Notamacropus eugenii: one gene and its partners. The protein of the gene in region 1 purifies or fractionates together with the protein of each later gene. This does not show direct contact. Links are inferred from orthologs where the notes say so. Each region holds a gene or a part of one and is shown in the gene's direction. Other genes may lie near its edges. The genes, in order: SMAD2, SMARCC2, SKIL and TGFBR1.

What was found.
Region 2: the proteins of SMAD2 (region 1) and SMARCC2 purify together in Homo sapiens (affinity purification with mass spectrometry; 3 studies listed by BioGRID, with this or other methods). This does not show direct contact. The link is inferred for Notamacropus eugenii from reciprocal best matches to the Homo sapiens genes SMAD2 and SMARCC2.
Region 3: the proteins of SMAD2 (region 1) and SKIL purify together in Homo sapiens (affinity purification with western blotting; 8 studies listed by BioGRID and IntAct, with this or other methods). This does not show direct contact. The link is inferred for Notamacropus eugenii from reciprocal best matches to the Homo sapiens genes SMAD2 and SKIL.
Region 4: the proteins of SMAD2 (region 1) and TGFBR1 purify together in Homo sapiens (affinity purification with western blotting; 8 studies listed by BioGRID and IntAct, with this or other methods). This does not show direct contact. The link is inferred for Notamacropus eugenii from reciprocal best matches to the Homo sapiens genes SMAD2 and TGFBR1.

The regions. Positions count from the first base shown.
Region 1 is NC_092875.1:325,358,061-325,365,800, forward strand, and holds the start of SMAD2 (mothers against decapentaplegic homolog 2), read left to right. Parts: upstream 1-4,737; 5' UTR 4,738-5,157; intron 5,158-5,233; exon of another isoform or gene 5,234-5,564; intron 5,565-5,714; exon of another isoform or gene 5,715-6,047; intron 6,048-7,740. UniProt on the Homo sapiens protein: Receptor-regulated SMAD (R-SMAD) that is an intracellular signal transducer and transcriptional modulator activated by TGF-beta (transforming growth factor) and activin type 1 receptor kinases.
Region 2 is NC_092874.1:231,452,508-231,460,042, reverse strand, and holds the start of SMARCC2 (SWI/SNF complex subunit SMARCC2), read left to right. Parts: upstream 1-4,521; 5' UTR 4,522-4,560; coding exon 4,561-4,671; intron 4,672-7,106; coding exon 7,107-7,226; intron 7,227-7,535. UniProt on the Homo sapiens protein: Involved in transcriptional activation and repression of select genes by chromatin remodeling (alteration of DNA-nucleosome topology).
Region 3 is NC_092877.1:353,779,865-353,787,141, reverse strand, and holds the start of SKIL (ski-like protein), read left to right. Parts: upstream 1-4,260; 5' UTR 4,261-4,282; exon of another isoform or gene 4,283-4,360; intron 4,361-4,555; exon of another isoform or gene 4,556-4,650; intron 4,651-5,657; exon of another isoform or gene 5,658-5,758; intron 5,759-7,277. UniProt on the Homo sapiens protein: May have regulatory role in cell division or differentiation in response to extracellular signals.
Region 4 is NC_092872.1:65,598,496-65,606,002, reverse strand, and holds the start of TGFBR1 (TGF-beta receptor type-1), read left to right. Parts: upstream 1-4,495; 5' UTR 4,496-4,609; coding exon 4,610-4,859; intron 4,860-7,507. UniProt on the Homo sapiens protein: Transmembrane serine/threonine kinase forming with the TGF-beta type II serine/threonine kinase receptor, TGFBR2, the non-promiscuous receptor for the TGF-beta cytokines TGFB1, TGFB2 and TGFB3.

The DNA.
Region 1 (7,740 bases):
CCCCCACCCCATCTTCCTCTCCACTATATAAGTTCTTTCATGGCTTTTATGTGGGATAATTTGCCTTGTTCTATCTCTCCTTTCTTCTAATACATCTCTCTTTCTAATCCCTTAATTTTTTTAGATATCATACCATCATAGTCAAGTTACACCTGTGTCCTCAGTATAAATATACTTCTTCTAACTGCCCTAATAATGATAATATTCTTAGGCATCTTCCCATTTAGGAATGTAAACATTTTGAACTTATTGAATCTCTTATGATTTCTCTTTTCTGTTTACCTTTTTTATGCTTCTCTTGAGTGCTGTGTTTGAAAGTCAAATTTTCCATTCAGTTCTAGTCTTTTCATCAGGAATGCTTGAAAGTTGTCTATTTCATTAAATATCCATTTTTCCCACTGAAGGATTATACTCAGTTTTGCTGGGTAAATGATTCTTGTTTGTAATCCTAGCTCTTTGGAATATCATATCCCAAACCCTCCAATCCTTTAACATAAAAGCTGCCAAATCTTGTGTTATCTTGATTCCACAATATTTGAGTTGTTTCTTTCTGGCTATCTACAATATTTTCTCCTTCTCCCAGGAGCTCTAGCATTTGGCTATAATATTAATTTTGGGATCTCTTTTAGGAGGGGATTAGTGGGTTCTTTCAATTTCTATTTTACTCTCTGCTTCTAGGATATCAGAGAAGTTTTCCTTGACAATTTCTTGAAATATGACATCTAGGCTTTTTATTTTTTATCATAGTTTTCAGGTAGTCCAATAATTCTCAAGTTAATTCTCCCTGATCTATTTTTCCAAGTAAAAAGTTTTTCCAGTGAGATATTTTACATTGTCTTCTTTTTTTATTCCTTTCATTTTATGATTTCTTGATGTCTCGTGGACTCATTAGCTTCCACTTGCCTAATTCTAATTTTTAAGAAATGATTTTCTTCAGCAAGTTTTTGTATCTCCCTCTGTATCTCTCTTTTCTTCAGTGGAATTTTGTGCCTCTTTTACCATTTGGCCTATTCTGATTTTCAGGCAATATTTTCTTCATTTTTTTTTTCTGCCTCCTTTACCAAGCTGTTGACTCACTTTTAATCACTGTCATTTCTTTTCACATTTTTCTCTACCTCTTTTATTTGATTTTAACACTCCTTTTTGAGCCCTTCCAGGAATCCTTTTTGGACCCCAGACCAATTCACATTTTTCTTTGAGGCTTTGGAAATAGTATTTTGATTTTGTTGTCTTCCTCTGAGTTTATGGTTTGACCTTCTCTATCACCATAGTAACTTTCCATGGTTAGGTTCTTTTTGTTGCTGTTTGCTAATTTTTCCAGTGTATTTCTTGACTTTTGCGTAGAAAGGGCATGGTCCCAAGCTTCAGGGTTTTTGAGCTGCTATTTTCAGAGCTAATTTTTGAGGGGGTTGGTATCTTTAAGTTTTCAGTTCTTCCAAAGTGGTATGATCAAAGGGGAGGTGTGGTCACTATTCTTCTGGCTTGTGCTCTGATCTGGGAATGAATGCTGCACTCTTTCAGCTCTGTAACTGTGCCTCTCCTGTGGCCACATGTTCTACTATTCTAGTGATCCTCCTCACCCTGAGACTGCGCAATGGAACCACGTATTGGCAATGTAACAGCATCCTGTACCCAGTGACAAGAAAGGGTTTTCTGTAATTGCCTTCTTACCGGTTTTCTGACCCCTCTCTCCTTACCATCTGTGGGCTGATTTAGTCACCCTCAAGGCCTACTGCTGGCTTGCCAGGGCATGATCTGTGCTGGACTGCACTCCATTCTCCCCCTAGTGAGACATAACTTTTCTACCAACTTTCTAAGTTGTCTTGGGCTGGGAAGTTGTTTCACTGTATCTTTGTTAGTTCTGCTGCTCCAGAATTTGTTTTGAGGCATTATTATGAAGTTGTTTGGTGGGGAAATTGGGAGAGATGAGGTGAATTCCTGCCTTTACTTAGTCATGTGTCAAGGTCTTTTGAAACTTGACTTCATTTTCTAGAATCTTCTCTATCCCTTCCAGTACAATATCTTTGCCAAATTTGATTAACAGGTCATCTATACTTTTATCCAAGTCCATGATAAAATGTTAAAATGTTAAATAGTAGAGAACCGAGCAGAGACCTCTGTAGTTACTCCACTGGAGATATTCTGCCATGCCAGCATTGAACTACTAATATATACTGAGTTCAACTATTCAACCAATTCTAAATCTGTCTAATTGTATCTACCCAATGCCTCTTCATCTTCTCTACAATAATAGTAAGTGACACTTTATCAAAAGCTTTGTTAAAATCTGGGTAAATTATATCCATGGCATTCCCTTCATCTACAAATTTATTAAATATGTTGAAAAAGGAAATGAGATGAATTTGCCATGATCTATTCTTGATGAAGTTATGCTGGTTCTTTTTAATGACGGTTTCCCCTTCTAGTGGCTTACCAATCATCTCTTTAATGATATATTTTTGTATTTTCCCACAAAGTAAAGTTTATTTGTCTATAGCTTAAAAACTGTTCTCTCTCCTCCCACTTTTATTTTGAAAATCAGAACCACATTAGCACTTTCCTAATCTTGTAGTATCTCCTTTGTTTTTCATGATTTTTCAAATATCACTGATTAAACAGTCACATCCCTTCCAGTTCTTTCAGTATTTGAGTATATAATCTATCTGCACACCAGGTGAACTGCTTTAATCAAGAACAAACAGATACTCTTTTACCATCATGTTACTTGGGTATCAACTTGTTATTAGTCATATTCTGTCATTCCAGTGAAAAGATCATTTTCCTTAGTAAACAGAAGCAAAATAAGATTTGAGCAGTTTTGTTTTCTTGGTTCTTAGGTATCATAACCTCATGCACTCCAAGCAAAGGTCTTATCTCTTTCAAAGATCTTTTTCTCCCAATATAGCTTTAAATATACTTTTTTGTTATCCTTAGCTTCCCTTATCAGAAATAGCTGATTTTAAGTTTTAGCACTATTTCTACAAGAGGGATCATGTTCTTACATTCAACATGTTGTCAGCCTTAATTCCATGATCTTTTAGCCCACAGGATCCTATTTATCTTTTAAAATATGTTTTTTATTCCTCTCTTAAAGTTAAACACAAAACAAGAAAAAAAAATTCCTTGTATACAGGTAAACATAAGAGAGGATTCAATATAAAAAAAATGTTTATTCATGAAAACCTATGTAATCAATACTATGTATTTTTTCAAAGCTACCCAGCTTTTCTGTGCTTCCTTCTAGGTTTTCTTTTGTTGTCTACAGTGCATTTTCTATCTTATTTTTTCTCCCTTCATAAAAGGCTACAATTAAATATGAATATATATGCATATATATACATATCTATAAACATACACATATATTATACACATATACATATATACATATAAGACCATACTATGCATATTTCTATTTGTCAGTTCTTTGTCTGGAGGTGGATAGTACCTTCCTTCATAGTCCAAGTCTTTCCATGTTTTTCTAAATCAACCAGCTCATCATTTCTTATATCATAGTAATATTCCATCACAATCAAATACCCCATCCTGTTCATCCTTTTCCTAATATGACAGGTATAAGATGATATCTCAAAGTTGTTTTAATTTGCATTTCTCTAAGTAATTAGAGCAATTTTTCATATGATCATATATAGTTTTGATTTCTTCATCGAAAAGCTGCCAGTTCATATCCCTTGATCCTTTAACTGGGGTATGACATATTCTTATAAATTTGACAAAGTTCTTTGTATATTTAAGAAATGAGACCTTTATCTGAGGAATCTACCTATCTTTTCTCTGAATCTTTTGAAGCCTTTATCTCAGTCTACCATGTATGTCAGACTATGCCCAGATTTCCTCATCTGTCAAAAATTCTAGAAAGGAATGGTGTTCAATAAAGAGCTGATTTGATTTGACTATTTCATATTCTCTTCTCTAGAGGTTGAGGTACTCCCTAAATGGAAATGGCAGACTATGGCTGCATAGGCTGTCAGAGAGCCCTGGGGGGCCACCACCTCAAAGCCTCCTTACATTTCCATAGGGCAGATTTTGCAGTCCCACATCATGAATTGGACATTGGGAATAATTTAGGGTAATCAAAATAAATGAAAACAAAAATTCCAGCACAGATCAATAACTAGGATTTTGATAATATACTAGCCAAGGTGGTCAAGGAAGAAGAAAGGAGGAGGAGGTGAAGGAGAAGGAAAAGGAGGAGGAGAAGAAGGAAAAGAAGAAATTACTTTTGAAAGAACATAGGCAGTGTAGTAGTTAGTAAAGGGCAGCGTAGTAGAACAAGTCCTAGCTCTAGTATCAGAAGACCTGGGTTCTAATGTGAGCTCTGCGATTTACTCCCTACTTGAACTTGGACAAGACCCTTCCCCTCCCTGGGCCTCACTCTCCTCCGCTGAAAAGTAAGAGGACAGGATCTGGTGGACTCTGGGGTCCCCTCCATCATAAATCCAACGAACTTACTATGGCTGGCATATTTCACCGGTATAGCGGACAGAGACCCGCACCAAGCTCTCCTAGTATGATTGAGCCCCGCCCCTCCAGGACATCCTAATTTGCTCTTGGAGGTGATTTTGTCCCCGCCTCCTTATTTACATACAAGACCCTCCCGGCTTTTGACCACGCCCCCTTCCTTTTCTCAGTCCCATTTGTCTCCTATGGGGGTGGGGCTGGGAGCTCTCGTCTCCCCCTTTCCTTCCTAGTCCTCCCTCCCCTGAGCGTAGGTTAAATCCCTTTTGGAATGGAGAGGGATAGTCCCTAAACGAGCCCCACCCTGTGGCCACTTAGTGAGTGTGAAAGGGGTGATGACCTGGGGAAGGGGCGGCAAGCCAACGAGGCTGAGGCACGCTGGGTGAGGTAGAAAGATGGGTGAGTACTTTTGCTGGGATTATTTTCCCTACGCGGCAGGTTACTGTATGTTTAGATAAAGCCTGTCCTTCCGCCCTCCCCTCCTCCCCACCTCTAGTGAATCTCCTGTATACGCGGGCGAGAGGAATCAACCGAAACCGCTGCCTTTCTGACCCCTCCCCCCACACCACCTCACGTTCTACGGAGGAGGCGGGACCCATCGGCGAGCGACGTTTCCCGTCCGATTCAGGGAACCCGACGTGCCGCGCACACCCCGACCTCGGCAAGCTCCGATTCGTCGAGGTAGATGTCCATCAGATCGGGTGGGTTAGGAGGGCGTGGCCAAGAGGGAAAAGCGAAGAAGGTGTTAGTCCGCAACTCTCTCTCCCTGGCGCACTTGAGCTCCCTTCCCCCGCTCCCCGCCCCCCCACCCCATCTCCTGGGCGCGCGGAGCGCTCCTCACGGCCGGCGCGTCCTCACGCCCTAACGGGCGGGCGGGGGCGCCAATCAGCGGGCGGCAGGGTGCCAGCCCCGGGGCTATACTGACGAATCGCCGGGACCCGGGGCCCGGGGTAGGAGGCGGGTTTTACCCGCACGGCCGCGGCGGAGGAGCAGGAGCAGCAGCGGCGGCAATAGCAGCAGCTAGGTAGCAAAGGCAGCGAGAGCCGAGCGAGCGAGCAGCCGGGAGCAGGGTTCGCTGCGCGGCAGCGGTAGGTGGCACGGAGGCGGTGGGGGCAGGGAAACCGCGCGGGCCGGTTAGTCTTGTTCGTGTGTGTGTGTGTGTGTGTGTGTGTGTGTGTGTGTGTGTGTGTGTGTTCGCGCGTGAGGTAGGGGAGGAGGGGCGAGCGGTGGGACACGCACGTCCCCACGCCCTCCCCTATTTTCTCCTCCCTCCGGTGTGGGCGGACCGGGCGGCGGCTCCTCTTTCCCTCTTCCCGCGACCCTTTCCCAACCTGCATTCTCCCAGCCCCCCACGCCCCGCTGGTCCGCCTCCTCGCCTCGGGACTCTGCCTCCTCTGGGGGAGGGGCGGAGGGGAGAGTGTTTTCAGTTCCGCCTTAAATCGACCATTTCCACTCCCCCCTCCCCCTCCTTCCCTGCTTCCCCAGACTCCTACATCCCATTCCAAAGGGGAAGGAACAAAAGGTCCGAGACCCCCCCGATCCTGCCCGAGAGGGGCCGCCGCCTCCGTGAGGTAACACCCCCATCCCCCCCACCCCCTCCTACAATTCCGGGAGTCTCCGAGATGTATTTGTGCTCGCCTCCTTCACTGGGGGTGAATGGGTGGGGGGGCGGTCCTGTGTGGAGTGTGATCGGTCCTGGGAAGCGGCCGGGGCTGGCAGAAAGTGGTGATGATGGGAAGGGGCCAGAGGCGTCCTCTGCAGCCGGGGCCCGGAACGTCCATTGTGCCTCCTTGTCGGAACCCGTCCAGACAGTCTTTAAAGCTGGAGAGGGGGTTGGAGGTGGGGCAGTGATCCAGGAGTGGTGGTCGTCGTCGTAGTAGCTGTGGTGGTGGTGGTGGTGGTAGCGGCGGCGGCAAGGACTGCCTTTAGTTTCCTTTATTTATTATTATTTACTGCGGAAATGATTCCTTTGGGGTCTACTTTTTAAAGTTGCTCTACGAAAAGCGTGCCCATGGGGGATGCTTGCAGCATAATTCTATAATTTGCCACTTTCCTGGCGGTGAATACTGTAGTTTATTAAGTCTTGTGTGTACCTTTTAATCTTTGATTTAGGAATTATTCTGTTGATCCCAAACAAAGGGAACCAATTTAACTGGTTTTGTTGCTTCCCCTCTCTTCTCACCTCGTCTCTACCTTCAAAAGATCAGTGTCTGGGTTTTGTGTAGATGAAAATGAACTTGTTTTACAAATCGTGGCACGCTTAGACTTAGGGAAACTGGAAAGGAACATGAGAAGCCCGTCTAGTTCAAGTCCTTCATTTTATAGATGAGGAAACTGAGTCCCCTAAAAGCTAAGTGACTTAGCCAAGGTGGAGTAGGTGGAAGGCACCAGAAATGGGATTTGAGCCCCAAGTCATCTGACTCCAAAAGTCGATTTTCTTTCCTTTCCCTTCACCAAGGTCTGTATCTTGTGTAGATACAAATTTTATATATGTTTGTGTATATACATGCAACATATATATGCATCATATGCCATATATGCCAAAATCTGTGATGTGTACTTTAAAAAGCAAGTCATTTTTCAAATTAGTTGAAAAGATACCAGATTCATCACCCAGATTCATCAGCGAACTTTGACTTTAAAATAAAAGTGCAGTTCAATTTTCTTTTACTTAATTTCAAAAATCCAAATTTAACAACAAACTTGGACTGGAAGTAATTCAGTCTCTTCCCCTCCCTTGGATTGCAGATAGAGAACAAGAGAGGAGTGTTTTAGTTACTTAATCTATTGAGTGGAAATAGTTTAGCCACCAACTGCATTTTTTTGTTCTTTTTCCCCAATCTGTCTTAAAGACAGTAAAGTGTCTTAAAGTGTAAAGGGCAATACTTGAATGGCATCCTAGGTTTAGCTCTGGAAGAGACCGGTGTTAGAAGAGGTAATTGAGTCCAGCCCCTTCCTCTCATAGATGAGGAAACTGAGGCCTGGAAACTGGTGACTTGATTGCATGAGTATTAAGTGGGACAGAGTATTCTAACTCAGGTCTCTTTCCACTGTACCATATAGTCATTCTCTCCTTTGCCCTGGAAGTTTTGTGGAACTTTATGTGGTGGGGTTAGAAAATTTTAAAATCTGAATTTATGAATTTTTCATTATTTTTTCATTAAATAAAGTAATATCTATAAAATGAAAGAGAAGGGAGAGTAAGGAAAATATTCTGAAATGTGAATCATAATTTTTTGTGTATTTTTAAAACTAGAATATTTA
Region 2 (7,535 bases), on another chromosome or scaffold:
TTTTTGTGTTCTTCTATGTGTGTGTGTGTGTGTATACATATATATACATATATATATATATGTATATATATGTATACACACACACATACTCAATCTTGTGTGAGCTTAATTTGGTTCAGAATTAACCCAAAATTTTAAAGCACATATTAGAGACACTGAGACAAAAGTCTCAGTGGCAACATGTGGCTTTCCTATGCTAATCAATGACTTTACACCCTACCTTCTCATATTTGGGCCGGAACCACACCTACCCACTGACTGTAGAGTCTCAGAGAATAGAAAGAAAGCAAATACAATCAGTACATGTCTTGACTTCAAGGGGAGTTAGAGCAACTTAGCCACAACTTCAGCCCCCCAAAACACTGAAATGAATGACTGAATTGTTAATACCTTCACCTAGAAGATATTGTTCTGCTGAGAAGTCATGATATTCATGAGATACACCAGTTAGCAATTTGATAGAAAGCTACCCTATACCTAGGAGTAGAGAGACTGGTCATATTGTTTTGTGTACAGAATGGTTCCAGAGACTGGCAATGATCCTGCAAAGCAATCCACTGTAACCATTTATCACCAGTAGGTGAGTTATTTGGATTTTCTGAAAGGCAGACAAAAAGTGTTGGACATTCATTTCAGTGGATGATACACGGAAGAAATAACTTTCTAGTCATAAAGACTCAAAGATCCAGAAACTCATTTCAAGTAAAGAATATTCTACAAAATCCCATTCAAATGATAGAAAAGGTTTAAACTCAGAGGCAATAGCTTTCCTATCTAGCACTCTAACTGTAGAGACTGCTCTGGTTTCTACATGTCCTGACAGAATGTAGTAACCCAGGTAGCCAGGCTGGACCAGTTGAGATTTAGGAGAGCAGGACTATAGTCATGATGAGGATTTATGATTCAACCACGCAATCAATATAGCCCAAGGAAAGAAACAGATGTTGTTCTTCCTTCATTTTGAAGAGGATGTCTTGACTTGGATGTGAATTAAAATGAGGCAGAATTGTGCAAAGTCATCAGCCTCTCTCTTCCAGATTCATTAGAAATCCAGCGGCAGGACAGAAGTCAAGATGACTGGCAATGGTCTGGTTTGCTGTGGATGATGTTGGCATTCCACATCGCCTGCATCAGCTGTCTTCATGGTTGTTGGAACAAATTGTTCTCATTTGCCCATTCTACCAGGGGAAGTCTTCACATACTTGGGGTAGACATCTCCCTCACTCACTGACCAGTCTGAAGCCTGTCGGGTACCCTTGACCTGGTTTAGCCCATCTGCCAAGATGGTATTATGGGGCTCTGGCTGTTGCTCCTGCTACAGCTTTTTGGAACTACAAGTGAGAGTTGGGTGAATCAGATGGACACCGAAGGTAGATAAGCAGCCCTGAAAAGTCCTGAAAAGGTGTTAGTCTAGGGATAGGAGCAGTTAGTTCAGTAGAAGAGCTACAACTCTCTGACCAATGAGCATGCTAACTAAGATGTATCAGGTGAAAGATGTTAAATGGATACAACATATATAGCCAGGTGATGATAATGTTTATGCATATAATATGTACTTTGTATGTAATTTCATTCTAAATTCATTGATGCATATCATTTACAGCATGTATTACGTTATTTTTCTTGTGTTTATTTATTCATATATATCAGGCATTTATTGTAGTTGCATTTGCCTAACTATTCAGCTTTACTGTACGTTTAGTTATGTTTCTTTTTCTTCAAATCTTATTTGTAGACCCACCAATGTCATTTCTCCTTTGATTTTGGTATTTGAATATTGGCTTGTGTCCCATGGATACCCATGTATTGCTGTGATACTGCATATACTATGTTCTACGTGTAATTTAAACCTGTAGTCAATAAAGTAGCTTGTCAAGTGATGTTTTGCGTTTTTGAGCTACGTCTATCGGGTGTATCGTTGGTGTGTATTTGTTGTTAATAACTGGGATGCTACTTTCATCATCCTTTGCTCTCTCCAGTGCTGCTATTTTATCTGATGGTCGGCTGCTGTGTACATCCAGAGGCCATGTACCCCAGCTGATTCTTGAAAGGGACTGCAAAATTCTAAACCCTGGGAAGAATGCAGCCATTTCGTCAGTCTTCCGGGTAAAAAGTCTGAAATCCAACTGGAGTTCGAGAAAAAGAAAGCGGACCTCTTCAGTTCCGAGTCGGAAGATTTTACCGTCACAGTGGGGACGTTCCCCTGAACTCCCAAACTTAACTAACTGGAAGCCGAGGGACTTACGGGAGCCTGGATCCCCAAGTCGGAACACCGCCGGACTCACCAGGGCTCCGGGTCCGGCGGCCCTCCCGTCGCCCCCCAGGCAGCCCTCGGCTCCGGACCTCGTCTGCAGCTGAACCAAGTTCAGTTCCGAGCGACAGACACTGCCCAGCTCTTTAGCTCACCCCGGAACCCTGGAGACCAACTAGTAAAAATCGGGCTGGCATCCAGAGTTTCACAAAAAAGGGAAAAATAACAAAGATACTCTATGTACATATGTCAATCAGGTGCGGAACACACAAGTAACTGATTACTGCTGCGCACCAGACTCAAGATGCACGGACCGACCAGAACTCCGCGTAACTACAAACGTCAATTACCCGTCTGGTAAGTTTCCTTACGCCCCACCCCCCACCGCAGCTAACAAAGGTAACGTAGAGTAATTAACCCCACGTGGGCAGATTAGGAAACAGTCAGGCCTAACCGTCAACCGTCGGGACTTGAACCGAGGACCTGCCGGCTCCCAGACGCCGACGTTCCCTCGGCGCCACATCGGCTCCCGTCTCAGGCTTCCGTCTGTCTAGCTCCAGCCTTGTCCAAGGAATTTCCCTACCAGCACATCAGCCTCATGCTAGCACCCCACTTAAGACGTGCAGGCGCGCCCGGACTGGGGGTCACCCTTCAGCACCCCTCGCTCTCGTCTCTCTCACTACACTCCCAGAAGGCGATGGATGTCATCACAGCCATTCTATATCTTTGCTAAAAACGTCTCTGCCTCCCATTCAATCTAACCTCTAACTAATCACAGCCCTGCCGCCCCCTCCAAAAAACGAATAAAAACGAACAAGAGCAGGCGGACCCAGAAGTGAAAGGGCTAGCGGGACGGAGACTCGAGCAGTTCTCCCCCGGGCTGTGCCCTCTACACCCCGAAAATCCAGGTGCTGAGCCTTTTTTTCCCAACCGGAACCTACTCTGTATGAATTAGGTTGGAGCCTCCCTTTTCTTGGGCAAGGGAAAAAAAAATAAAAAAAAAAAAAAAAAGCAGCGGCCGTCACGAACAGGATTCGAACCTGTGCGGGGAAACCCCATTGGATTTCGAGTCCAACGCCTTAACCACTCGGCCACCGTGACTCCCGGGCTGAGCTTTTGCCGCGCGCTTATAGGAAGGGTCGCAGCAGCGTGGAAAAGGCTGCGGGCCGACAGACAAATTTCTCCCTCTAATTCTCGGTGCAGATGCCCCTTCACCCCCTCTCTCCGTGGCTCCTCACCGAAGTTTGGGAGAGAAGGCTCGGAATCCCCCCAGGAAAGGGCGGGGCCGGGATCAGCTCGGAGAGAGGGGGCAATGGTGTGCAGGGGCTGGAGCCCCCGAGGGGGCTTCCGGGAGAAGGGAGAATGGCTTTCTCTTCACGGGGGGCCCGACCCCTCCCACTCCTCTGTCACCTTCGACGATCTCCCCTGCCCCCCAAAGACCTCCCTCAATCACCGCCCCCGTCCCTTATTTCCGGGTCATTCTCTCCTCTCCCAGTCCCTCATTGACCCCTCTATCATCACCCCCCTTCCCTCACTGACACCCCCATTACTCCTCCAGCCTTTACTGATCCCCTCCGTCACTCCTTCCGTACTACACCGATCCCCCCAGTCACTCCCCTTGTCATCCCGCCTCAATCCGCTGTCATTCCTCCCGCCCTCCAGTGACCCCCGCTGTGACTCCCCCGCCCTTCACTGAACTGTCAGGCTCCCCTCCCCTGACAACCCCCCCATGAGTGCCCCCTCACTGACCCCCCCGGTCAGTCCCCCTCCCCACACTGACCCCCCACTACTCCCCCCTCCCCGCACTGACCCCCCCGTCAGTCCCCCTCCCCGCACTGACCCCCCCACTACTCCCCCCTCCCCGCACTGACCCCCCACTACTCCCCCCTCCCCGCACTGACCCCCCACTACTCCCCCCTCCCCGCACTGACCCCCCCACTACTCCCCCCTCCCCGCACTGACCCCCCCGTCAGTCCCCCTCCCCGCACTGACCCCCCACTACTCCCCCCTCCCCGCACTGACCCCCCCACTACTCCCCCCTCCCCGCACTGACCCCCCCATCGCTCCCCTCTCCCCTCACTGGCCCCCCCCCCCAGTCAGTCCTCCTCCCCTCACTGACCCCCCCCCGTCACTCCCCCTTCCCTCCCGCGGGCCTTCACCACTCTGGCCGGGCCCGGCAGGGGGCGCTGCGTTGGGCCCAGGCGGCTGCGGGCGGCGGGCGGAGGAGGAGGCGAGGCGAGGGAGCGGGGCGGGCGGTGGCGGCGACGGTGGCGGCGGCGGCGGCAGCTGGGGGGGGGAGCCAGGAGAAGATGGCGGTGCGGAAGAAGGATGGCGGCCCCAACGTGAAGTACTACGAGGCCGCAGACACCGTGACCCAGTTTGATAACGTGAGGCTGTGGCTCGGCAAGAACTACAAGAAGGTACGGGCCTGAGCACAGCGCGCCGGGCCGGGCCGGGCCGGGCCGGGGCCCCGGGCGCCACAAAGGGCGCCGCTTGGACCCCCCCCGCCGCTGCCGCCCCCTTCCGTGGGGTCCCCGCGATCCCCACATGCTGCGGGCCACCCTCGAGCAGTCGGGCCGGGCCCCGGCCGCCTCTGCCCGCTGTCCCCTCCCCCGCTGTCTTCCTCCTCCTGCCCCCTTCCCCACTGTGCCCTCTCCCGATACCCCGTCCCTTCCCTGCCCCGCCGCTCCCCAGGCCCCCCTCCCCCCCGCGACCTTTACCCCCTCCCCGCTGTCCCCCCCTTACTCCTCACGTTCTCCCCCCATGTGTTCTTCTATTTGTTTGATTGCCTCCCCTTCCCCCGGTCACCCCCCCATCCAATGTCCCTGGTTCCATGAGTCTCCCGTCACCACCATCCACTGAGATCACACATGCAAAGCGCTTTGCGAACCATGAAGCGCTATGAAAATAGTAGTAATACCATCATCTTCCTCTTTGTGGTTCATTTGAAAATTCTCAAGAAGGGCAGGAGCCAGCCAGGGAGAGGGAGGAGGAAGAAGCCGACTGGGTACTCCCCCGGGCCAGCCCCGGTGCCCAAGGGCTGGGGGTGGGGGCGGGAGTTGAGGCCTCCCCGAGGCTTTGTGTGTGTAGAGTATTGGGAGAAGGGAATGAGGAAAAGCAGCGGGGCAGACACCCACCGGGAAGGCCTCCCTCCTGCTCTTGGCCTGGGGAGGATCTCCGTGCTCTTACCTGTCTAGCCTGCCTCCATCCGAGGGGAGGCCAGAGGACAGGGGATGGTGGGTCTCAAACAGTGTCTCAGCATTTACAGTGAAGTCCCCACTTTGGGCCTCCCTTGACTTGAGGTCCCAGTGTGGAGCCCAGTCCCAACCTTTTTACCCAAGACTGGGGGGGTAAGGGAGTGAACAAAAGGTCTGTGGAACGTGATCCCCCCCTTCTACGGGCCTTTCCTGGTTATGTCCTTTGTCTGGAAGGCTGATAAAAGGGCAGCATCCACCTATGTTGTGTTCTCTCCCCATAATCAGATTCTCCGGGAAGAATCTGCTCCTTTTCACTCTTCCCCACTCTTTCTTACAAGGAGGAAGACAAGTTTTGTATCTTTTTTCCTTCTTGGTTTTCTGGCTTTCAGATTCTCCCTACCCATCCTTGTTTCCTGTTGGAGGTTGTAAGTGGTGGTACTGTTGGGAGAGCTCTGGTCTGTGAAGCCCCTTTCCTCAGGTTCCAGATACATTTGGATACAAGCTAACCTTGTTCTCTGGGGTCTCTCCAGGTGTCAGAATCCTGACAGTCAGCTGCTCCATCTGTTGCTTGTCTGTACTCAGCATGGGGCTCTGATTTCCAGGCAGTTACTAGCTCTGACCTTTGGGAGGGAGAATAAACTGGGGGCTTAGTAAGTGGATTCTGGGATGAATTGATTGCCCGTGATCTGGTGTGGCTTTTATACTCCTGGGCTTTTGTCATTTACTTTTCCCTCCTGTGACCTCTCCTTTCCCAGAAGCTATTTTCCCTGCCTCCCTCTGAGAGGGATGTTGTCCTCTGTGATTGGGGTGGAGGAAACTGGGGTCAAAGGGTTAAAAGAAATCCTAGAGGTTCAGTTTAACATGAATTCTTGGAGAGAAGTATTATATGGGGATGTCTGGAAAAAGTCCAGAATTGTTTTGAACAGCCTACAGCGATCAGGGTACCTGCCTTCTTACCAGGGCTTGTATCCAGCCTAGTTTATTCAGGGATAGTAGAGCTTTTTGCCTGCCATTTCTCTATTAGGCAGCATGTGAGTACGGTCTTCCTTATGTTATTATTATCTTCTAGAGGATCTATTATAAACCAAAGGCCCCTCCACAAATATCCTGTAGCAGTTCTATTTGGCCTGTCTTTCTTAATGACCAATTTGCCAAGATTTTCTTCTCTCCCTCTCCCCCAAAAATGTTCCCACAAGTTAGTGGACAACCTTATTCTGTTCAGTGAGTCCTGAAGAGCCTCCTTCTCTCCCATCACCTCCACATAGGCTGGATTCCATAAAGCCTGAGGCTTTTATGACCCAGAGTACTGTTGTGGCATCAAGATAAGAGGGTCCTGGCAGCTCACATTACAGAGTGAAGCTCAAGAAAGAGAAGGAAATTCTTCCCTCTTGGGCACTCAGTACTAAACTGCTTCAGTTATTTGCTGGCAGAAGAATTTTTACCTCCTGGAGCTCTTTCTGCTGCCCTTAGAACTAGGTGAAGGTGCCTCTTGTCTGCCTTCTTTTCACACATAGTTTCTAGCCGTTGTCTGAGGAGAGAGGCTTCTAGAATGTCTCCACTTGACCTTACTACCTTTCTAGGGGCCTTTCTCTCAAGCTTGGGGCTTGTGGGAGATATAATGGGAGTCTTCATTATTCCCTTTCTCCCTCTCCTCCTAGTACATCCAAGCTGAGCCACCCACCAACAAGTCCTTATCTAGCCTAGTGGTACAGTTGCTACAGTTCCAGGAGGAGGTATTTGGCAAACATGTGAGCAACGCACCACTTACCAAGCTTCCGGTGAGTCTACAGGGCCAAGGCAGGTGGGTATCCCAACAACCTGGGGAAGGACCTAGACTATTTAAGTACTGTATCTCTCCTTCCCCAGCCAACCTTAGAGTATTGCTGGCTTAGCCCAGTGAGGCTGTCTCCAGATATTACCAGATCTGTCACTTTACCCCCTAGGCTACTCTACCCCTGTCTAGGGATTTGTCAGAAGGATAAAATAGTTGAAGAAATGCCCTCAGCTTAGGAGCAGATATTATTGCTGTACTTTGCTTTCTGAAGTGAAATGATAAGGGGGGAGGGAGTAGGTCGCTTTTACCACTC
Region 3 (7,277 bases), on another chromosome or scaffold:
ACAAAAAGCTGTGTCTCTGGTTGCAGAGCCCTTTTTGAAGCTAGTCAATGGAAAAGGTGATTTTCTTGTTCAGTCATGTTCAACTCTTCCTTCACCCCATTTGGGGTTTTCTTGGCAGAGATACTGGAGTGGTTTGCTATTTCCTTGTCTAGCTCATTTTACAGATGAGAAAACTGAGGCAAGCAGGGTTAAGTGACTTGTCCAGGGTCACATAGTTAGAAAGTCTGAGGCTGAAATTGGACTTCTGAGGATGAGTCTTCCTGATTTCAAGCCCACTGCCCCACCTAGCTGCCCCAACCAGGTGATTAGCAGAAGTACCTTGGAGAGACATAAGCATACAGAAGCATACACTGTAACTGGTTACAGTCTGGTTAGTCTCTCCAAGATACTTCCATTATGTGTCATTATGACTACTCAAGAAATAGAATCCCCAGAATCTTTCCCAAGGGGAGACATTGTCAAAGGTTCTCTGTTTATGTTCTAGATTTTATTATACATAACTATCTCATTTGGTCCTACTGAGATAGGTGTTATTATTATCCCCATTTTCCAGAGGAGATGAACTGAGGCTGAGACTACTTGCCCAGCATCACCCAGGGAGGAAGTGGCTGATTTGAACTCAAGATTCCCTGACTCTAAGTTAGGGCTCTATCCATCATACCACCTAGCTACCTCTTTAATTTTTTGGACAGTAGGGAATCATTCAAAGCTTTTGAGGTGGGGAGATATGATGACTCTTAGGGATTATCTTCTACAATTCAGCAGATAAAATGATGGGCAATTCAAAAATCCCTTACTTTTGGCTTTGGAATCCAGACCCACACACACATAGACTCTGTGTCAACTCTGTGCTCAATCTTTCTGTTGGCTGCATAGGACCCAAATGAGCAGCAGAGATGAGGAGACATGCATCATCCCTGGTAATTAAGTTGGCCTCATGTGTATTTGTCTTTGGACATGGACCATTCTCTTTACCACCTGCAGTGACTGCTTTCTTTCTTTTTCTGCCTTTTATTTGTATTTTGTGGGCCCTCTTACTATAACATCTGGGCTGGAAGAGACAATGACTGTTATTTTTCTTAAGGGTTTTTATAAAATCAATCTTGCAAATACTTCTAAGGCCTGCAAAAATTTGACCACAGATGAACCTTCCAAGATATACTTGATCTAAGAAAATCTCACTTGCTTACAAGTCCCAACCTGCAGTTTGGGGCCAGTGGCCTTGGGATCTGAAGGGCAAAATGCAATGTGCCAGGCACTTTCTGTGCTTTATCAGATGATGCAAAAAATTCTATTTTTCCCCAATAAATTCAAACAATTCCCTCCACATTTAGATTTCCCTAGCTACTAGTTTACTCCCTACCCCCAGAGGGGTAAATAAACAAGTTTTACCCTCCCATCACCAGGAGGTGAAGAACAAGACTTTTCTTGCAGCAAAGAATGTTGGCTTCTATCAGAAACACAGATGTTTTGTGGGGGAAAACAACATGAGCAGATGAAATAAACAGTAGTAGTTTGAAACTGAGATTTTTCTGCCTACGGTCTTTGGGCTTGTAAACAGTTATGTTTATGGCTGATAAAATGGCCAACAATTGATTACTAATGGCAGTTTTGAAATAACCTTTCTTTTTCTTCAATGGGTGTTGGAGGGGTCTTTGTGGTTTGCACCAAATTCATGGACCAGGTACAGACAACTGACCAAGGCTCAGGGCTGTCTACCCTTCTCACTTCAATCTTTGGTTAGGTCATCTATGTTTTCTGACTGGTTAAAAAAAAAATCTGTCCCTGCAGGCTCACAGATGCTCCTGGTTCCCCCACTGACTCCACACAGAGCATCATTATCTCTGCAGAGCTTCTGTCTCTATGGTAATAACAGATGGGAAGTGCTACAGAATTATTCATGCTAGGGAAAGGAGACAGTCCAAAGAAAGGGTGGGGGGTGGGGGGTGGGGGGAAGAGCATCCTTCCCTGAGGGAAAGAGAGGCTCAGTAACTGGGAAGAACAATAGTTGGTGGAGATGGGGGTGAAACTTTGGAACCAATATGGGAGCTGAGTAAAGAGGAGGGGGAGGAGCTAGAAGGGAGGCAAGAGGAGAAAAATCTTTTGTCCCTGTTGTGTCTCAGCTGTCCCGAAGAACCTCTGGCCCGATGGTAGGGAGTGTTTAGAAGGATACACCAAATGACAGAACTCACGACAATAAAATAAGGGACTAATAGAAAATTGGGCACTCTCCTCCCTCCCAACCCCCATCTCTCAGAACAACACACAAAAAACTCTGAACCTAATGAGTACTGAATGCTTTAGTGCTGGGTGGAGATAGTTTCAATTCCTGATTTTAGAGCTGTGGTGGAGTAAAATGAATCTTGCCATGGTCCATCAATAGTACTGAACATCTAGAAAAGTAATTGTAACTTTTTAAAAAGTAAATGTTCAATTCTCTTGAAATTGTGATGCTCTATCCTCCTCCTCCTCCTCTCCCCCAGCCCCCAAACAAGAGAAAAGTTTTTAGATAGGTTTGTTGTTGTTCAGTCGTATCTGACTCTTTGTGACCCCATTTGGGGTTTGTTTGGCAGAGGTACTGAAGCAGTTTGCTATTTCATTCCCCAGCTCATTTTACAAAGGAGGAAACTGAGGCAGTTGGGGTTAAGTGACTTACTTAGGGTCACACAGCTAGTAAGCCTCTGAGGCCAGGTTTGAATTTCCTGGCACTCCCCCACCTAGTTATTTAATAGCTAACATGCTGGTTCACAATTATTATCTTACTTGATCCTCACACAACAACCCTGGGGAGGAAGGTGCTATTATTATCACCCCTTATACAGATAAGGACACTGAAGCAAAGAGAGGTTTGGTGACTCACCCAGGATCACACGGCTAGTAAGTGTTGGAGGTCGAATCTGAACTCAGGTCTTCCTGACTCCAGGTCCAGAGCTCTAATCACTGAAACACCTAGCAGATATACTTTTTATGATCTTTATTCTTTCCTCTTTTCCATCTACGGTTTTCTACTTCCAAAGAGACCTTTTAGCAACAATAATGTAGTTTTAGCCAACAAAAGAGGCCACCTCTCTGCCTTGGGCACTAGGTTAGGTGCCCAGGCTTTGATACACAAAAACAAAAACAGAACCAGAAATAGTCTCCCCTTCAGGGAACTTACACACTGCTGGGTGGAGTTGGAGGAGAGGATGATAAACACCAAGTAGCAAAGAAACTGAATCTGGAGGTTAGAATCCCGACTTGCTATCTTTGACCAGGGACAAAATCGCTTTGCTTCTCTGGTGTTTCTCACCTCTAAAATGAGGACCGACAATCATTCATTCAGTCACCAAGCATTTATTAAGCTCTTACTCTGTGTGCTAAACTCCAGGGTTAAAACTGAAGCAAAAAAAAAAAAAGTTCCTGCCTTTAAGGAATTTTGTTTGGCCTTTTTGGGGGATCCCTAATGTTTAGCACAATTCCTGGCACACAGTAAGCGCTTAATTAATGCTTGTTGATTGACTGAAGAGGAATGTAACACATTAAAAGGAGATTCTGACCCCAGCTCCAAGTCGTGTGAAAAATGTGTATGGATAAGAAGCAATTTGAGGGAGAAGAACTATAATCGTAGCTGATATTTACACAGGAATTTACCAACTTCGACTCACACGGTTCTCTGAGGGAGGGAGGCCATCTTCATGGGATCACGGATTTAGAGCCGGTTGTGGTCATCTTTTAATGATGGGCAATACTTATCCCGAACAGGAGGAAACTGAGGCACAGAGCAGTTGCTTGACAAGGAAGCAAGCGAAGATTTCTTAAGAGACTGCCCTGGGCCGGAGAGACCCTGGGCCATTCCCGGGATAGAAGGTCACCCAGGGGCCCCCGCTTCCTTGGACCAACTTATAGCCCTCTTACTGCGTGGACACTACCACCTTGTTGGCAGCTCTGCTCCCAGTCTGCAATGATTCTCTCATCCCTCCAGCTCTTGGGTGGTTAGGCTCCACTCCTGCGCTCCCCTCCCCATGTGAAAGTCAACCAATAAAAAAAAGAACCCTGAAAAAAAACCCTCGCTGTGGATGCTCTGGGTGTTTTAGATCGCGCGAGGGGAGGGGCCCGGACCAGGGCCAGGGAGGGAGATGCCCGGGGCTTCGCTGGGGCTGCAACTTTTTTTTTTCCAGACGATCGACTCCCCGGCTGCCCGCGGGCCGAGGTCAGTTCAGGCGAGGAGCCGCCGAGCGCTCCCTGTTCCGGGAGTCCAGGAGCCTGGAGGGCCGGGGGAGGGCTCGGGGCAGCCAGAGGCAAGGTCGGGGCGGGGCTCCCGTCTGCTGGTGCAGAGCTGGCTTTCTGGGGCGGGCTGGAGGCCCCGCGGTCTAGGAAGTACGGGCGGGGGGAAGGGGAGAGAAGGCGGGGGGGGGGGGGGGGGGGGGTTCCTGGAAAGAGGGGGAGGGGCGCCGCGAGCAGATGCGGTTCTGGGCTGGGGGAGGGGTGTCCCCGACCTCCCCACTTAGGGGACTCGGAGGAGCGGCGTGGAGGGGGCTGGAGGAGGGGCTGGGGGCGGGGGGAGGGAGCAGATGCTGCCAGGCGGAGGGGTTTGTCCCTGACCTCTCAAGGAGGGGGCTCGGAAGGGCGAAGGGGAGGGGGAGCAGATGCTGTTCTCGGCTGAGCGCCTGCGTAAGGGATTGGGGAGGGGGTCCCAGATATCTTCGGGAGAGGGATTCACGGGGGCGCTTTGGGGGCAGTGCCCTCCACCTGGGGCGCCCCTGATCTCCCCGGGCCGGGGGCTCATGGGGACGCCTGGGGAGGGTGGGGAGGGGCTGCCCTGTCCCCTGGCGGGGGCGCCCCCAGTCTCCCCGGGTGGGGGGCTCATGGGGACGCCTGGGGGGGTGGGGAGGAGCTGCCCTGTCCCCCGGCGGGGGCGCCCCCAGTGTCCCCGGGTGGGGGGCTCATGGGGACGCCTGGGGAGGGTGGGGAGGGGCTGCCCTGTCCCCCGGCGGGGGCGCCCCCAGTGTCCCCGGGTGGGGGGCTCATGGGGACGCCTGGGGGGGTGGGGAGGGGCTGCCCTGTCCCCCGGCGGGGGCGCCCCCAGTCTCCCCGGGTGGGGGGCTCATGGGGACGCCTGGGGGGGTGGGGAGGGGCTGCCCTGTCCCCCGGCGGGGGCGCCCCCAGTCTCCCCGGGTGGGGGGCTCATGGGGACGCCTGGGGAGGGTGGGGAGGGCCGCCTTATCCCCCGGCGGGGGCGCCCCGCGGTCTGGCTCCGGGCCCCCGCGGGGCGGGCCGCAGACTGCCGGCTCAGCCCCTCCCCCGCAGCCCGGCCGGGCGGGGCGGGGCGGGAGGGAACATCCTGTCTGCTCCGGGCGCACCGCAGACAGGCTCGCGCGCCAGCCGGCCAGACGGCGCGCGGGGCCGCGAGGACCTGGGAGCCCCGCGGGCGGGGGAGGGGGGAGGGGCGCCGGGCGCGCGCGGCCGGGCGGGGAGCGCGGGGCGGGGCCGGAGCCACAATAGAGCGCTGGGGCCGCGGGGCGCGCGCGCGGGGACGCTGGCGCGGCCTGCCCCTCCCCCTCCCCCGCGGCCCCTCCCCCCGGGCTGCCGGAGACGGCGGCGGCGGCGGCGGCGTCTGCGGGAAGCTGTGTCTCCGCAGTGACGTGGGCGGTCTGTGTGCCCGGTGACGTCAGAGGGCTGGCTGTGTGTAGCCATGGGGGGGCGGGGGGTTCTGAGCGGCGGCGCCGGCGGAGCCCGGGGGAGCCTCGGAGCGGCGGCGGGGCCCGGGGGAGCAGCGCAGGTACGGTTCGGCCCAGCCCGGCGGGGCCCGCGGGCAGGGGAGCGGCGCGGGGGGCCGCGGGAGGTCGGGGGGCTGCGGGGGACTGCGGGGGGCCAGGGCTGCACTTGACCTCGGCGTCCGCCGGGGATGCCCTCGCCTCGGCGGGGCGCGGCGGGGCCCAGCCCGGACCTCCTGGCCCGTCGGCGAGGCTCGGCGGCCGTGGGCAGGGGGCTTCCGCTCGGGGCGCCACCCGCCCGGCTGGGGGGAGGGGGCTGGAGACCACCGGGCTGGGGAGGAAGGGCCCCCCTGCCCTGGTCTGCCCTCTCCCCTGGTCTACCCCCTCCCCCTGGTCTACCCCTCTACCCCCCACCCCGGGTCTGCCCTTTCCTCTATTTCTGCCTTCCCTTGTCTACCCCTCCCCCCGTGTCTGTCTCCTCAACGCCCCCCCCCGTCTTCACTCTGCTTCCCCCCATCTCCGTCTGCCGCTCCCCTCCAGTGTCCCCCCCCCGTCCCCCCGCCCCCGCTTGAGTGGCGCCCAGTTCCCGAAGTGTGGGCAGCGACGGAAGGGGATGGAGATGTCGGGGTGGGGTGCGGAATGGCTAAAGGAGACTGCTGCCTCCACTCCCCGACGCCCCCTCCTCTGACTCTCTCTTTCCGTCCGAGGGGTGGGGGATCGAGGGAGGGGGGCTTGGGTTGACCCTCCCTGGAGGAGGTGGGGAGGCCGAAAGGGGACTTTCACTAGTGGCTGCTCTCCACCCGCACCCCATCCACTGGTTGAGCCTCGGCGGGCGAGCTCTGTTTAGTTTCAGGGGCCGCAGATGGGGAGAGGATGACAGGGTGGGTGAGGAAAGGAAGGGGATTTCCACCCGAGTGTCCCCATGGTTCCCCCCACCCCCACCCCCGACAGCCTCCACCCTCCACCCTGTTGGAGTCTAGACTTGTTCCCCAGGGCAGACTGGCAGGGGGAGGGCTGGGGATGTCCCTGTCGGCTTGTGGAGGAGGAGGACTCCCACCTACCGCCTCATCCTGATTCCTAGTGTCCTGCCTCCCCCTCCCTTCCCTAGGGTTTTCAATTGAGTACTTGACTCCGCGTGGGTGTAAAGGACTTTCGGGGTTTGGGGAATCCCCAGTTCTCCAGGTGATTCCTTTTGGGCTTCGTGGTTTGAGCTGGCGCTCTGCGGTGGGGTTGAAGTCAGTGGATTCCTTCCTTTCCCTTGTTGGGATGGATGGAGTGAATAGTTCAGGCAGCAATAGTTCATCTTCACCCTCACCCCAATTTTCTCCAGTTTATTCAGGATTTCTTTTCTTGAGAAGGAAGTGGAAGGAGGATTTACCTCTCCCCCTCCCCCCTTCCCCTTGCTCCATTTGCATTCTTTGTGAACAGTGTCTGCAACTGCTTTTTTTGTCCCAGATTAGCCTTGTTCAAGGTTGGAGGGTCAAAGGATTGGAATACATAGTTCCCAGGCAGCAGGAAGATTTTCTCACCTTTTGGATTTACCTACTTTTTTTTTTAAACGTACTTTTGATTTCATAACGCTAC
Region 4 (7,507 bases), on another chromosome or scaffold:
TTTTTGCTGTTACATGAGGTGGCACTACCTATAATCAATCTTTTGCCATCCTACTCAATGTTTAGCAAATAAGTCTATATGCTAAGTCAGGGATGCTTTTGGTTGTCACATATCTCTGCATGGCAAAGAGATCAAGTGTTAGCTGGCTGAGATAGCTTCTGAGCTACCATGACTTCCTCATTGTGATAACTGCTTTAACTCATTAATCAGATTTAGAAACATTACCCATATCCAATTTCCATTTTTCAAAATCAATGGTTTTTTTAAAAAAAAAAGTTAAAAATGGAGTTGTCATTGATTCAAGTGACTTATCTTTATATTTCTTCTTGAGATTATACTTGATAAAAAAAAAAATATGAGAAGGGAACAAGCCGGCTTTCATAGATTACTTTCCACAACTGATCACGTTTTCACAGCCTTATAATTGACTAAAATGTTCAGAGCACATAAGGCTAAACAGTTTTTTAAAATTATAAAACATTTAAGATAGTAGAACAAAATGCTATTTAAAGTCCTTTAAGGCTGCAACATTGAACTTCCTATGCCTATAATGAGATTCCTTGATAAATGTAACTACAGAGATGATTTTTGTTCAATGACGTTTTCATTATTAATACATGTGGCATAATAAATTGGAGATGTATATTGCCAAAGGTGCTTGCCATTGTCATGGGGACTATCTTGTAGGGAGTCCAAAGACAAGGAAGATTTCCTGTAGATAATGAGGCCCTCCAAGTGTTCTTATTTGAAGATGATATTGGGTTAATTATATCAAGCCTCAGATTTCTATATGGCCTCCTAAAGAATATCAGGATAAAAGATGGCTAGTTTAACTCTCCATGTAGGAAAGAACATGAGTTAAAAATTCATTTCAACAAACACCTATTAAGCACCTACTATGTGTGAAGTACTCTACTAGATATTGGGGATATAAAGTTAAAAATTAAATACTTCTTGCCCCCAAGCAGTTTATATTCTACTTGGTTGGTTCAATGTGGGTCTGGATAATGATGTATGTATCATTTGTGTGTGCATATGTATATGTGCATGCACACACTGACACAGACACTCAGACACACATGTGGGGAAGTAAGCACTATAGGGGAAAATGCCTGTTGTCTACTGTGGACCATAATATGCAGTTAGGTGTGTAGTCTATAAAAATATTCTATTAGTATATATATATACACATACATATGTATGTATGTATCTTGGAAAGACATCACAGATGAACAATGTTCCCCTTCCAAGAACACAGAAGAATCATGGAAGATTAAATGGTATAAATTGGTTACATAGTTGGAAGTATTCCTATCAATCAGAAGAAATATTGAAATATTTCCAAAGCGATAACCTATATAGTAATCAAAGATAGTTCAAAACTACTTACATGTAATATACATAGATTACATAGGAAAACAATTACCTTGAATTACAGTGTACAGTTTAAAACTGCACTAAGATATTGGGAACATCCTGCATAGTTTTAATTTTTTAAAAAAAGTTCAGTGACCCCATTAACAACTCCTGCTCTAGATATTTCATTAATTATCCTAGTTTGCCTAAGACTCATATTCCTGAGGTGAAAAATAGCAGACTTCCTTTAGCTGTAGGATTTTACTTTCACTTCCAAGAAATGTTTGATTACCCTTTACTTACAACTTGTGTTAGGAAAAGGCCATTTGCCCTTCCAAGCATCTTGCTCCTCACCTCCTTCCTCTCTCTTAGTGACTAAACAGGGAAACAGAAAGATGTGACATACAAAGACATCCATATTTTCATAATAGCTCAAGACTGAGATCTGAGGTGGTGGTATCATAGAATCAGTGGATTTGATATATTTTCCAAAATATCATCCTAGAATAGCTGACATAAAATGCATTTCATGAAAATTGACTTGAGAATTTGAGGATTATTATTGTCTTTAGTCAATAAACGTCTATTAAGCACACATATTAAGCGCCAGACACTATCTTCAGTTCTGGAGATATATAAACAAAAAATAAGACAGTCACTATCGAGGAAGCCAATTCACAAAAGGAAGCTGAAAAGGGGAAGGGGCGTCTGGGACCCACTCGGAAACCAAGTTGGGCAACTGATGGAAAATAAATATTTGAAAAGTTCTGAGTTGACTGCTTAGCTTTCCAGCCCCTAGCTCCAAACTAAGGGGAGAGGCAACTCAGGAAACAGAAGAGGTGTTGGATTATCAAGATTATCAAAAACTGAGTCAGTCCACATGACGATGAGATTTCAGGTGAGGAATTTATTCTGGGGGAAGGAATGAAGTTCCTGGAGTTGAAACCAAGCAAAACAGTTGATTCTAAATAAGACTAGTAAGATGGAAGCCCTTATGGAGCCTGGAGAGATACAATTAGTCAGTGTCTATCGGAGACTTTCTGAGGGAGAGAAACACTGTATCTAGTCCACAAACACATTCTAATCATTAGAAAAAAAGCTAGATCAGCAATTAGAAACTTTTGAGAGTGAGACATCAAGTCGCCGAACCCCTAAGAAAGGAGATGGTTAGGAGCAGAAGTGTTGACTGCTTTCCTTTCTGTAAGCAGACGGCACGCAAAGGTCTCTAAATAGAGGTGGGGAGGAGTGGGGGGGATTGTGTCTCAGGCTTTTGTTGTGTCAGACTCACAGTGACCCTACTTGGGGTGTTCATGACATAGATACTGGATTGGTTTACCATTTTCCTCTCCAACCCATTTTTCAGATGAGAAAACTAGGGCAAACAGGGGTAAATGACTTTCCCAACGTCACACCGCTAATAAGCGTCTGAGGTCACATCTGAGCTCAGGTTCTCCTGACTCCAGGTCAGGCGATCTATTCACTGCTGCCCTGTGTCGCAGGCACCAGTGAGTTAATTCATTTATCTTAACAATTTAAACTCCTTAAATACAAGCCACTCTGGGGAGGATTAAAAGCTATATTCATTTGCATCAGCCCTAATCACTATTACTCCCACTCTTACTAGGCTTTTAAAGTCTCCAGATTTAAAGGTTTTCTTAACCACTTTTATTAATACATTATCGCCCAAACACATTTTAAGGGAATCCATAAATGAGGACAAGTTCCTTATCCAAGTCAAAAAGTCAAATCAATAAGCGTTTATAAAGCTCACCTACTTTGTGCCAGGCACTAAGGGTACAAAGTCAAAAACTCCTGATCCTCAAGGAGCTCGTAGTCTAATGGGAGAGACAACAAGTAAACAACTATGAATATATGTGTGTATATATATATATATATATATATATATATATATATACATATATATATGTAAACAGCATAAAGTGGAGATAATCACTGAGGAGAGGTATTAGGGGGAACTGGGAAAGGCTTGTTGCAGAAGGTGGGATTTTAGCAGTGACTTGAAGGAAGCCAGGAGACTGAGGCAAGGAGAGATCATTAAGTTTAAAAAAAAAAAAAAGGATTGAAGCCAAATAAATGGAAAATAGATATTGAAGCTTTCTGTTAAAAAAAAAAGTTTAGCGTTAAAAAACTGCATAGTATTTGTATCGAAAGTAAAAGTATTTTATTGCAGAATCAGAAGTCTGGCTGCTAAATTATTTTGGCACATACTGAAGTGAAGGTGGGAGGAGTGTCTCTCAGCCGAGAAAATCAAGAATGGAAAAGTAGTTCAGCTTATTTTCGTCTTGAAGGAAACCAAAGATTCCCCAAAGAGGCACGCTGGATACCCGTGGTACTGCAAACACCGCAGGTTTTAAACATTAGCCACTTGTGGTTGCAGAACGGGCTGCCTCGTCTCGGCGGCGAGAGTTCCCTCTACCCCTTCCGAGTTTCTCCCGAGTTTATTTGACTTCATGAAAGGGGCGAGCCAGAGAGGCAAGGGCTCTTGAGTCCCGGGGGGTCTCGGCGATCGTGCGTGCGGTGTAGACCGCCTTTCCCCCATCCCGCCGCTGGAGTGGTTAGAAAACGGGGCGGCCCCATTCCGGCCTGCTCGGCTCTCCGGGCTCAGTTAGTAAGAGTGGTGAAGCGCAGACGGCCCCGAGGTCACGTCTCCGAGGGCTTCGGGGGAAGGGGGGCCGTCGGAGGAGGAATGGGGAGTGGGGACGGAAGAGGGCCCGGAGCTGGCGGCAGCTCCGGAGTGGCCCAGGGCGATAACGGTCCCCTGGGAAGGGGGTGCGGCCGCCCCGGTCCCCGTGCACCGAGCGGAGAGAGGCCCCCAGTCCTGAAGTACTTCCCCTCCGCGGGCACAACATGCTGGGGCCCCTTGGGCGCCCCCCAGCTCTAGGGACCCCAGAGCCCCTGGCTTCGGCGGCCGCTTCCTCTTCCAGTGCACGGCTCACTGCTCACCCCCCCCCCCCCCCACTTCTTGCACCATCCGAAACCTCCGGCGTGGGGGGACGCGGGGTGAGGGGGTGGGGCTGAGGAGGGGGCGGGGGAGTCCTGGGAGCCTGGGAAGGAGGCGGGGTGGGAGGGGTGAGCCTGTGGAGGGACTGGGAAGGAGGCGGGGGCCCGGCCGTTCCCGGCGCCCTCCGGCCCCGGATTGGCTGCGGCCCTGCGGGCCGGGCTCTCGCCTCTCTTGTTGTTCTCCCGTCTCGGCAGCTGCCGGGAGGCGGGGCCGGGACGTCCCTCGCAGCCAATGGGAGGGCCCCCCCCGAGCAGTTACAAAGGGGCCGAACGAGGCCGCGGCGCGAGGCGAGGCTCTCTGGTTCCTCGGGGCGGGGGCACCGAGACGCGGCCCCGGCCCCTCGAAAGGACCCGACGCGGACTACGACGCGGGACCATGGAGGCGGCCGCGGCGGCGGCCGTCGCGGGGAAGACGACCGTTCCCCCCCGCTACCAGATGTTTCTCCTCCTGGCGGCCGCGGGGCTGGTCCCAGGGGCGACGGGTGAGCCGCAGGAGGGGGGAGGGGCCGGGGCGGCGGCGGAGGCGGACGGGGGCGCTGGGGCCGCGGCCCCTTTCTCCAACATGGCGCGGGCCCCGGGGGCGCCGGGGGTGGTCGGGCGGCTTGCGGGAGACGGAGGAGGGCTCCTCCCGGGGCTCCGCCGCCGCCTCGGCCAGACAGACCGCAGACGGAGATTGTGAGGAGGCGGGGGGCGGCGGCGGGGAGCCCGGGCTCGCGGGGCTGGCCTCTCCGCCCGGGGCCGGGAGGGTGTCTGGCGGGGGGTGTCGCGGACTCCTGACCCCCCCCCCCCAGCCCCGCCGGAGCCTCCGGCCCCTCCTGCCCCGAGTGCGGACCTCCCCTCCCCTATCTTTGTGCTGGCCCCGGGAGCCGGGGGCTAAGTAGGTGTGAAGCGCGGCGGCCGCTTCCCGGGTGCCCGGGGTGGGGGGGAGGGGGTGCGGGCGAATTCCATCACCAGATGACTAAGAATTATTTTCGCCCTAGAAACTTGTCTGAATATTTGCTCGGCGTTTCGAAATGTTTGAATGGGAATGACTTTTTTTTTTTTTTTTTACACATTCATCCAACACGTGTTGGGAGAAGATTTGTTTTTCCTCCTCTTGCTGCTAAATCAGATTTCTAGTGGGAGAGAGATGACTATCACGAGGACGGCGGCAGGGGAGCTGCCGCTCTGGGAGGACCCGGTTTTCTGGGACCCGAGCGAGGGATCGTTTTAGGAGGTGGGGAGGCATACCGACTGGGCAGTGCTTTTTCGTGCACGCACAGAAACGCCCTCAAAAAATAAGTAAAACCACCCAAAAAAAGCCCCTAACCCACCTAAAACCTCCCATCTTTGGAGCTGAAGAGTGACGTTGGTGGAAGGAGCTCCGTCCCTAGCGTTAGGCTAAGCCCTGCAGATACAAAGAAAGGCCAGCCTGGGTCCGTGCCCTGGAGGAGCTCCCTTCCAAACAGATAACGTGAATTACCTAGTGCTTAATCGTCTAATCTGGGCTGGAAGCTCCAGCCCTGGGAGGGATCTGGAAGGCCAGTGGGGAAAGCTGGGTTGGAGATGAGACTGGAGAGTCCAGGAGAGGAGGGAGAACTTTGCAGGTGTGAGGATCGCGTGAGAGGCACCAGTAAGTAGTGGTGTAGCGAGATAGTGTAGAGTTAAGTTGTAGCAACGCTGCAAAGCCAGGCAGCGTTTTCAGCTGCTAGGGAAGGCGTTTTCTATTTGGTCACGTTCCTGTGCTCTGGCTAAGATGCTTCCAAATTGGGCTACCCTGGGCTGGGAGGTAAAGTCTCCTGTGCCTTGGTTTTCTTATCTGTCCGTTGAAGGGATTGGGCAAGATTATCTCTAGGGCCGCTTTCAAGTACTGAGCTCCGATCCTATGAAATTACGTGTGTGTGTGTGTGTGTGTGTGTGTGTGTAATTCTGTTTGTTATTGATTTTCTTTTTATATCTTTTAAGTCACCTTGGAAGCAGTTGACCTAACAGTATTTGATTATTTACTCTGTGGATTTACCTCCACAAATTTTAAAATGTCAAAGCGCTTTTCTGCTTTCCAGTGTTCCGTTTATGGCTGTCAGTAGATGTTAAGGGATTACTATTCTTTTTAAGATGGGCTGCAAAAATGCTTGCTTTCTTTTGATGTGGATACCCTTTCCCCACCCCCAAACTCATCTTTCCTTTTGTGTGATTCTTTTTTGTATGTTTCCATAAACTTCCTATGGAGCTTTTTCCACAACAGCCCTTTCTAGGGTTTTTTTTTTTTTAACCAGTACAGCACTTGGGCTGTCTATCTGTTAATCCTTGCTTTTGCCACATGACTAGGACACCCCTACTCCTCTCCTGGTCCTTTATGTTATGGATGACATATTTTATGAAAGAATTCTACATCTGGCTTATATTTTATATTTCCATTACCTATGGAAGTAATATTTAGAAGACAAATTGCTGGAAAAGTAATAAATGTATTCTAAAGGTAAATATAAATTACTTGTGAATTATCCATACCATTTAACGCGAAAAGTTGATTTTACTGCTTTTTAAATATTAACATTCCAGCTTTGTATTTGGGTAACATTTTTTGAGTGCCTTTTCTGTGTAGAACATTGCATAGACATTCAGAAGTCACAAGTTCTATGTGCTGGACTATGCATAGAAATGAGCAACTTGGAGCTGTGGAAAGGGCATCGATTGGCCTTGGCATCAGATGATACCTGACCTATCACTTCAGGCCAAGTCGTTTAACTGTTAAAAAATGGAAATCATAATTATACTCCCTCCCTTACCAGATTGTTGTGAGGAAAGAGCCTTTAGTATTTTATAAATAACTTCCTATACCTTGGAGGTCCTTTGGAGGGAAGGCACAAACCCAGAAATCAATTACTTAACAAGTATTTGTTAAGCAGCTGCTATAGACCAGGCATTATGCTGGTAATATACCTAAAAAGAACGAAACAATTCTGACGAGAAGTTTATAGTCTAATGGGAGAGACAAGTATGTATATAGATATATACAGTATAAATACAGATATATACAAAGTTGTAAAATACAAGATATTTTAGCAGTTGGAGGAAATAATGAAAGGTTCATGCAAAAGATGATCCTTGAGCTGTGTCTGAAAGTAGGATGGGCAGTGGAAGGAAGGAG